Ovis aries: one gene and its partner. The protein of the gene in region 2 interacts with the protein of the main gene of each other region in a biochemical or structural test. Links are inferred from orthologs where the notes say so. Each region holds a gene or a part of one and is shown on either strand. Other genes may lie near its edges.

Region 1 (3,649 bases), on a different chromosome or scaffold from region 2:
AAGTTATGTATTAGTAGCAAATTATTTAGGAAGACTCTTAGCTACGATTGGAAGTTACTGGGGAAGGCACCCCTTAGGGAGCCTAGGATGTGACCCGCATTCTTCGCTTATGTCCTACAACGTTAGCTTTTCCAGACTCAAAACCTGCTTGTTAATACATGAGAACCCTGAGAATGCCTACTCAGTCTCTCGAGAGACTGAAATTTAGAGAGGAAGAACCACACGAGGGAAAGACCCCTCTTCTTCTTTAGAAACAGAGGTTCATTTTCACAGAGCTCAGATGTAGAAGCCTCCACATGGCTGGGGAGCTTGTGCAGCTGGGAAGCTGCTCTGACTTAACCTCCATCCAGGTTCCCTTGATTAACTTGTTACCTAGAAAGCGTGGAAAGTTGCACTTCTTGCCTTTGAGAGGCTCTGTGACTGAACTTACATATCACTTTGCTGCCTGAAATTCCTTCTGGAACAAAGCAAGGTCTAAATAAGTAAATATGTATCACTTTCTAGAATTGAAAGTGCCATTTCCTTTATAGCCATGGCATTGAGGGGCAAGGTTGACCAGACAGTCGTCCCACACTTTCTCTGGTCTGCTCAGGTTCGTCCTCGGTCTTTACCCCTCAGTTGACCACAGGCACCCCTGATGCCTCCTTCGTCTGGAAAACTGAGACATCAGGTGTAAGATCCTCAGGATTCCCCTCAACCCCCCAACCCACCCGCTGCAGTAATACACAGCTGTATTTACCTGCTTTGAAACCATCCTGTTTCAAAGAATGCAGTACCCTTCCAGCCCACACTTCCCCTTCCACCTCGGCCCTAAATGAGCCTCAGGAGCCTCGTTATCATCCCCTTCTATCTCCGTCAAGAGAGAGCTCTTCTGTTTTCTACAAAATGACTTTCTTTACACGCTCCTTTCCCTTTAAACATGCTTGTCACTCACATTCTAAAACCTGTTTCTTTTGATTTTGTGTTTTCTCAGTCTTTTCTAATCTTCATGTTACCCTTTGGCTCTGTTGACTGTTCCCTTCTCTATCACTTCTAGTCCTGTGGCTTCTGAGGTAACATTAATTTCCGGCTTCTCCTCCTCCCTCTCTTTCTCTTTTGTGGGCTCCTCAGTCTCCTGCCCCCACCTGGGTGGTAGGTGTGTCCTGGGGATGTGCTTTCACCCTGCAGTTCTCATTCTAAGACCCCCTGGCTTCAAACTTCACCTCTGCACACATGACACCCAGCTCAGTCTCCGGGTCATTCCTTTCCTCTGAGCTTCAGGTTACCTTGCTCCAGCTACCTGCAGGGCAGCTCTGCCTAGGTATCTCTCAGCTTCCTCAGGTTTAGTGTTCCCAGCTGGCCTCTCATCGTCCTCCTCTCGCCCACCTTTTTTCCGGTTTGCTCTAAGTAACCAGTAGAAGCACCTTATCTACTCAGTCACCTTAACTGAACCCGGGAGTCCTCCCCATGACTGCTTCCTCTGGGTCATTGTCTGTATCTAATTAGGCTCTGGTTTTGCGGTTCTTGATTTTCCTGCCTATTTCACAACTGTGTCCCTTTGCTTCCATCAGTATCATAAGCTCTGTGAGAGCTTACAGCCCTGTCAGACACAGACATTCTGCAGAGTTAGTGCTCAGTAAGTGTGGAGTGACTGAGAAAGAGGTGACCTAATTCCTGCCTCTTCAGAGGTGCATGTCCACGAGTAGTTAAATGTGGAGCAGAATTTAAAGACAGATATGGTGCCATTGTGGCATACGGAATGTGGGAGGCCATGTCAGGCACCGGGCTGGGATCTGATTTTCCTAATTGGAGGGGCACAGGGAGAGGGGCTGGATGGGGACTTGGCCAGTGGGGCCCTCTGAAACCATCAGTAAAGAAATAGTAGGGTTATAGGTTAGCAGGAATGTGAGCTGAGTAAATTTGATGGAAACATATATATTTTAATATCTCAGGTTAGAGTCTCTGCTTCTGTTTTCAGGGGATTGTTGGCCTTGAAATTTCTATGACATCTCATTATTTAACTCTTGATTTCTTCCTTTTTCTCTTAATTCCTAAGAAATGTGCCACCCCTCTTCCCTGTTTTTTCAATGAAACTGAATCAGTGGTCTGGGGAGGATATTTCTGAGATTTTTAAACATTTCTTTAAATGATTATGAACTTGGTACAGGGTATTAGGAACTTGGCAGGTAAATTGGAGATGCTGTATTCATTCAAACATCAATTTTAAATAATAGAAACTAATTCATATCTGCTTAAACCAAAAAAAGGGAAAGGAAGGAGGAATAGGTAGAGTGAGGGGTTTGTCCTAAAGATAAATCAGTTTTCTACGGCAGGAGTGGGGCTGGATCTGAGGAGCCAGAAATGTCAGGACCCTTTTCTCTCTTCTCTTGGGCTTCCCTCTGCCCACTTCATTCTCCTTTTGTAGACGGCTGTTCTTTGGTCCGCATGACAGCACCACTGCTTACATATGTGTGTGTCACAGGACTGGCCACTTCAGGGAACTGACTCAGTCAACTGGCTGATCAGCTCAGCTCAACTCATCCTGATCTAACTAGCCAGTGTAGAAGGTGGGGCACACAGGATCTATAATATGAATGTAATAATAGCTTCTATGGAGGAAGGTAGGTCCAAGAGAAGGAGGGAAAGCCCCTGTGAATTGGAGATTCTTTAGAAGGTTTTCCCGGAGTTACAAGTGACTCCTTTAGGGACATCAGCCATACCCGTAGCATCTGGAACAATTCAGCACCTATTTTTATACTATTGATCTCTCTGATGTGTCGGTTTCAGAATTAGTTCATTCTACCAATGATAAATTCCTTCAAAATAATACCACACCCTATGTACTTTCACATCCTCCACAACCTGTATTTGATTGTCATATATTTTTCTGCATCTGTATTTTGGCTTTAGGCTCTGAACTTCTGTAGGGCTGGGTTTATACAGAGGCTTTGTTATTGCAGTGATGAAAAGAATAGATTGACTGCAGTCATATCGTATCACTGACTCTATCTCTGTCGTCCCAGGCTCGAAGCTGAAGGAGATCTTTGACAAGATCCACAGCCTACTTTCTGGAAAAGCTGTCCAGTCTGGTGGGCGCTCCGTGTCTGTCACACTTAACCCACAGGCCCTGGACTTTGTCCAGTACAAACTGGCAGAGAAATTTGTGGTGAGAAACCTTGTTGCCAAAGGTATGGGAAGAAGAGGCTGGTGCCTAGCCTTTAAGGCTTTCTTGAAATTAAATTCTCCCCTCTCTGTGCTCCCAGAAACAAGGGGAGGAGGAAGTGGCCTCCCATCACGAAGCAGCATTCCCCATCGCGGTCGTGGCATCTGGGATCTGGGAGCTCCACCCCAGAGTAGGGGCCCTCATCTTGGCTCACCTGCACAAGAAGTGTCCTTACTCTGTTCCTTTCTATCCAGCATTCAAAGAGGGAATGGCTTTGGAAGACTATCAGAGGTGAAGTGTTGTTCTCCTTACTGTCCCCAGGAAGAGAGAGAGAACTGAGATTCATTTCCCCTCCTCAGAGCATCTCTTATGTACCTTGAACATTCTGTCAGAGAATACAGTGTCTTTCATGCAAACTGGGTGGCTTTTAGAATTTGTGGATTTACGTATCAATAATCAATACAGTACAGCGGAAAGAATTCTGGATTTAGAATCCAGGGATCTTAG
Region 2 (3,749 bases):
GCAATGGCAACCCACTCCAGTACTCTTGCCTGGCAAATCCCATGGATGGAGGAGCCTGGTAGGCTGCAGTCCATGGGGTCGCTAGGAGTCGGACACGCCTGAGCAACTTCCCTTTCACTTTTCACTTTCATGCATTGGAAAAGGCAATGGCAACCCACTCCAGCTTTCTTGCCTGGAGAATCCCAGGGACGGGGGAGCCTGGTGGGCTGCCGTCTATGGGGTCGCACGGAGTCGGACACGACTGAAGTGACTTAGCAGCAGCAGTTCCGTGTCGCTACCAGTTGATTTTGTGGTACGTTACCGTGAAAATTTATGTTTACGAAATCTTCACTGGGTACAGAGATCTGATGCCTTGCTTTATTTCTCATTGCAGAGGGGAAGCTGCTGCTGCTAAGTCGCTTCAGTCGTGTCCGACTTTGCGACCCCATAGACGGCAGCCTAGCAGGCTCCCCCATCCCTGGGATTCTCCAGGCAAGAAAGCTGGAGTGGGTTGCCATTGCCTTTTCCAATGCATGAAAGTGAAAAGTGAAAGGGAAGTTGCTCAGGCGTGTCCGACCCTCAGCGATCCCATGGACTGCAGCCTACCAGGCTCCTCCGTCCATGGGATTTTCCAGGCAAGAGTAATGGAGTGGGGTGCCATGGCCTTCTCCGGACACGGAACTAGAAAGCCTGATTTACACTGAAGCCCATTAGAAATGTAGAGAAGTTTTGGTTTATGGGTAAACTTTTTCTAACGGTTACCAATTCCTATCCACTCTCAGAAGTTACTTGGTAGTGAAGTTGCTCAGCCGTGTCCGACTCTTTGCGACCCCATGGACTGTAGCCTATCAGGCTCCTCGGTTCACGAGATTTTCCAGGCAAGTGTACCGGAGTGGGTTGCCATTTCCTTCTCCAGGGGATCTTCCCAACCCAGGGATCGAACCCTCATAATAGGCAGACACTTTTACCGTCTGAGCCACCAGGGAAGTCCGAAGTTACTTGGACCACCAACCAAATTGACACGAAACTCAAATAGGTGCTGTTTCGGATTCCCGCTACCCGAAGCTCGAGGCACCCGGATCCAAGCGCGCGCTGAACTCACCAGAACCCGAGCAAGTCTGCGCAGTACCCGCAGTAACCGGCTCCCACCCACTCGGCCCCTCCACCCCTCCGACCCCTCCACCCCTCCTTCCTCTCCACCCCTACAGACCCCCGTCCCGTCCCTCCCCTTCCCTTGGCCCCACCCCTTTTCCCTTCCACCTCCGTCTCTCCCTTCCTCCAAGACAACACCGACTTCCCCCCGCCTCCCCAAACAGCCACCTCCCTCTCACTTAGCTCCACCCCTAACGTCCACCCCCACCTCTATCAAGTTCCCCTTCCCAGCTGCCAAATTAAATGCAAGCTTCAAATTCCCCACCCGATGAACCGGAAGTGCGTCATGCACTGGCGCCGAGGCGCTCGTTTGGCGCGCGCGCTCTAAGCTTTGGGGCTGAGCTAGCTTCTTGGGTTTTGTCTTATTTCTCCTTGCTTTTTGACTTTCTCCGGTTGCTGTTGTCTTCGGTTTTCGATATGCCGTCTTCTTTGCTGGGGTTGGCGATGCCGGCCTCCACGTCGGCGGCAGCCCTGCAGGAAGCTTTGGAAAATGCGGGGCGGCTCATCGACCGTCAGTTGCAAGAAGACCGCATGTACCCGGACCTATCCGAGCTTCTCATGGTGTCTGCTCCAAGTGAGTGATCGTTGCCCAGTTGGTGACTGTTTCTCAGCCCAAAGGACTCTGATCTGACTCCATAAATAGGTCCCATCCCCAGGGTGAATGGGCGAAGACATCCTGAGATTTAGGGCGTTCGTGTGGGTTGCCATTCCCTTCTCCAGGAGATCTTCCCAACCCAGGACTCAAACCGGGGTCTCCCTCTTTGCAGACACACTCATTACCGTCTGAGCCACAAGAGAAGCCCTAAAGGGGGAAAAGAGCCCATTTTCAATTTTTTCCTTCTCTCGCCCTTCATCACAGGCAATTGAGAGGCTAGGAACGAGGAGCAAGCCCCTATTTGAGGCAGAAAGAGGCAAATATTTTAACCTTAATGAGCTTCTCACTACCTTCAGGTGTTTATCGCTAAGACTGGATGAGGAGGATCACCTGATCCAAGTTTCATCTGTTAATATCTCGTTTCACTATCGGAGTAAAACCGAAGAGCAAACGAAGTTAATTAGGAAATTTACTATGTTCGCTGAAAGATATGCCATGTTATGTGTAGCGTTACTGTAATATGAAATGCTGAAGGGTATGAAAAAGAACTACAAGCGGAATGAAGGAAGGGAACAGGGAAACGAGTGATGATGAACAGGGAGGGTAGGGCAGATTTTGTGCCAACAAAAGACAGGTGTCTGTACAATATTCTGTTTAATGGTTTTGAATTAAGGTCCGGCTCCTCAAGGCACATAGAATCACACAAGTTGCTAGAAAAGAAGTGACCCTTGTGTAAGGTGGAAATTGGAGAAAAGTTGAGGAGAGTAAATAAGATAAGCACAAGGTTTTGGCAAGCATGAACCAAGATATTTTAAGCAGGATAATTCCCAGGTGGCTCCGTGGTGAAGAATCCACCTACCAGTGCAGGAGATGAGGGTTTGATCTCTGGGTTGAGCAGATCCTCTGGCTACAATGCTCTTGCTTGAGAAATCCCAGGGACAGAGGAGCCTGGCAGGCTACAGTCAATCGGATCACAAAGGAGACGGACCGGACTTGGCAACTAAACAACGACAATATTTGCAATGTAAACCTAAAAGACAGCTCCTGCAGTTTAATAAAATTCATTGACTTAAAATCAGAGAAAAGACAGGAACAAAGCAAGGAGTATTTATTCCTGACAGCTACTCACACGTGGGCTTGTCTTGTAAGAACTGAGTGACCTGTTAGCAGCTCTCATTTTGAACAGCACCACTCCCTTTGACCTTATTTCTGAAAGTAAACTGAAAACAGTGCATATCTTCTTGTCTTCTCTTCATATCTCACCCCAGTTCAACCTGTCCACCTTTACATACATCTACCTCTCTAACCAAATCTTTCCTTCTTCCATCCTATTCTTTACATCCTTGTTCCAGTTATACTGAATGTAACACATTTACTATAATAAGAGACCCCCTCTTTCATTTTTCATGTATTCGTCGTCATTTCTAGACTGTTCTTCTTTGCCTAATAAGCTGTTTTTCCAGGCTCCATTAAATATCTCTTTCCTTCTGTAGGCTTTCACAATTCCATTGTTTTCCCACTGCCATTTAACATGCACAGTGTTCTACATGTAATGTATGGCTGAGGTCCTTCACTGTTCACCTGAAGCTATCACAACCTTGTTAATTGGCTACACTCCATTACAAAATGTTTTTGGTGTTCAAAAATAAAAGACTTTTTAAATTAAAAAATAGTGAAGTGTCTCAAAAATTATATTTTAATATTAAATAGAATGTCTGCAATTTGCTTCAAAAAATACGTTAGGGAAGAAGTGGATAGGACTGATATATGTAAAACATGACTGGGCATATAACTGGTAGTTTTTGAAGCTGGATACTCAATACATAAGGATTGACTGAATTTGTTCTCTAGTTGTATAAATTTTTAAATTTTTCATAAAATTGTTTTGTATGTCATTTCCCCACAACATCTTTGTACTTTAGAGAGGCAGAAAATAGATGATCAGTCAGATCTAAAACACCTTGTTCAGGACTAGGATGGAATAGACCATCCCACTCCTGCCCTTAGTGTCTGGGGTTTAGAG

The links.
Region 1: the proteins of NUP155 (region 2) and GLE1 form a complex in vitro, tested with the Homo sapiens proteins (2 studies listed by BioGRID). The link is inferred for Ovis aries from reciprocal best matches to the Homo sapiens genes NUP155 and GLE1.

The regions. Positions count from the first base shown.
Region 1 is NC_056056.1:7,817,917-7,821,565, reverse strand, and holds part of GLE1 (mRNA export factor GLE1), read left to right. Parts: intron 1-3,002; coding exon 3,003-3,145; intron 3,146-3,242; coding exon 3,243-3,433; intron 3,434-3,649. UniProt on the Homo sapiens protein: Required for the export of mRNAs containing poly(A) tails from the nucleus into the cytoplasm. May be involved in the terminal step of the mRNA transport through the nuclear pore complex (NPC).
Region 2 is NC_056069.1:37,133,856-37,137,604, forward strand, and holds the start of NUP155 (nuclear pore complex protein Nup155), read left to right. Parts: upstream 1-1,421; 5' UTR 1,422-1,548; coding exon 1,549-1,705; intron 1,706-3,749.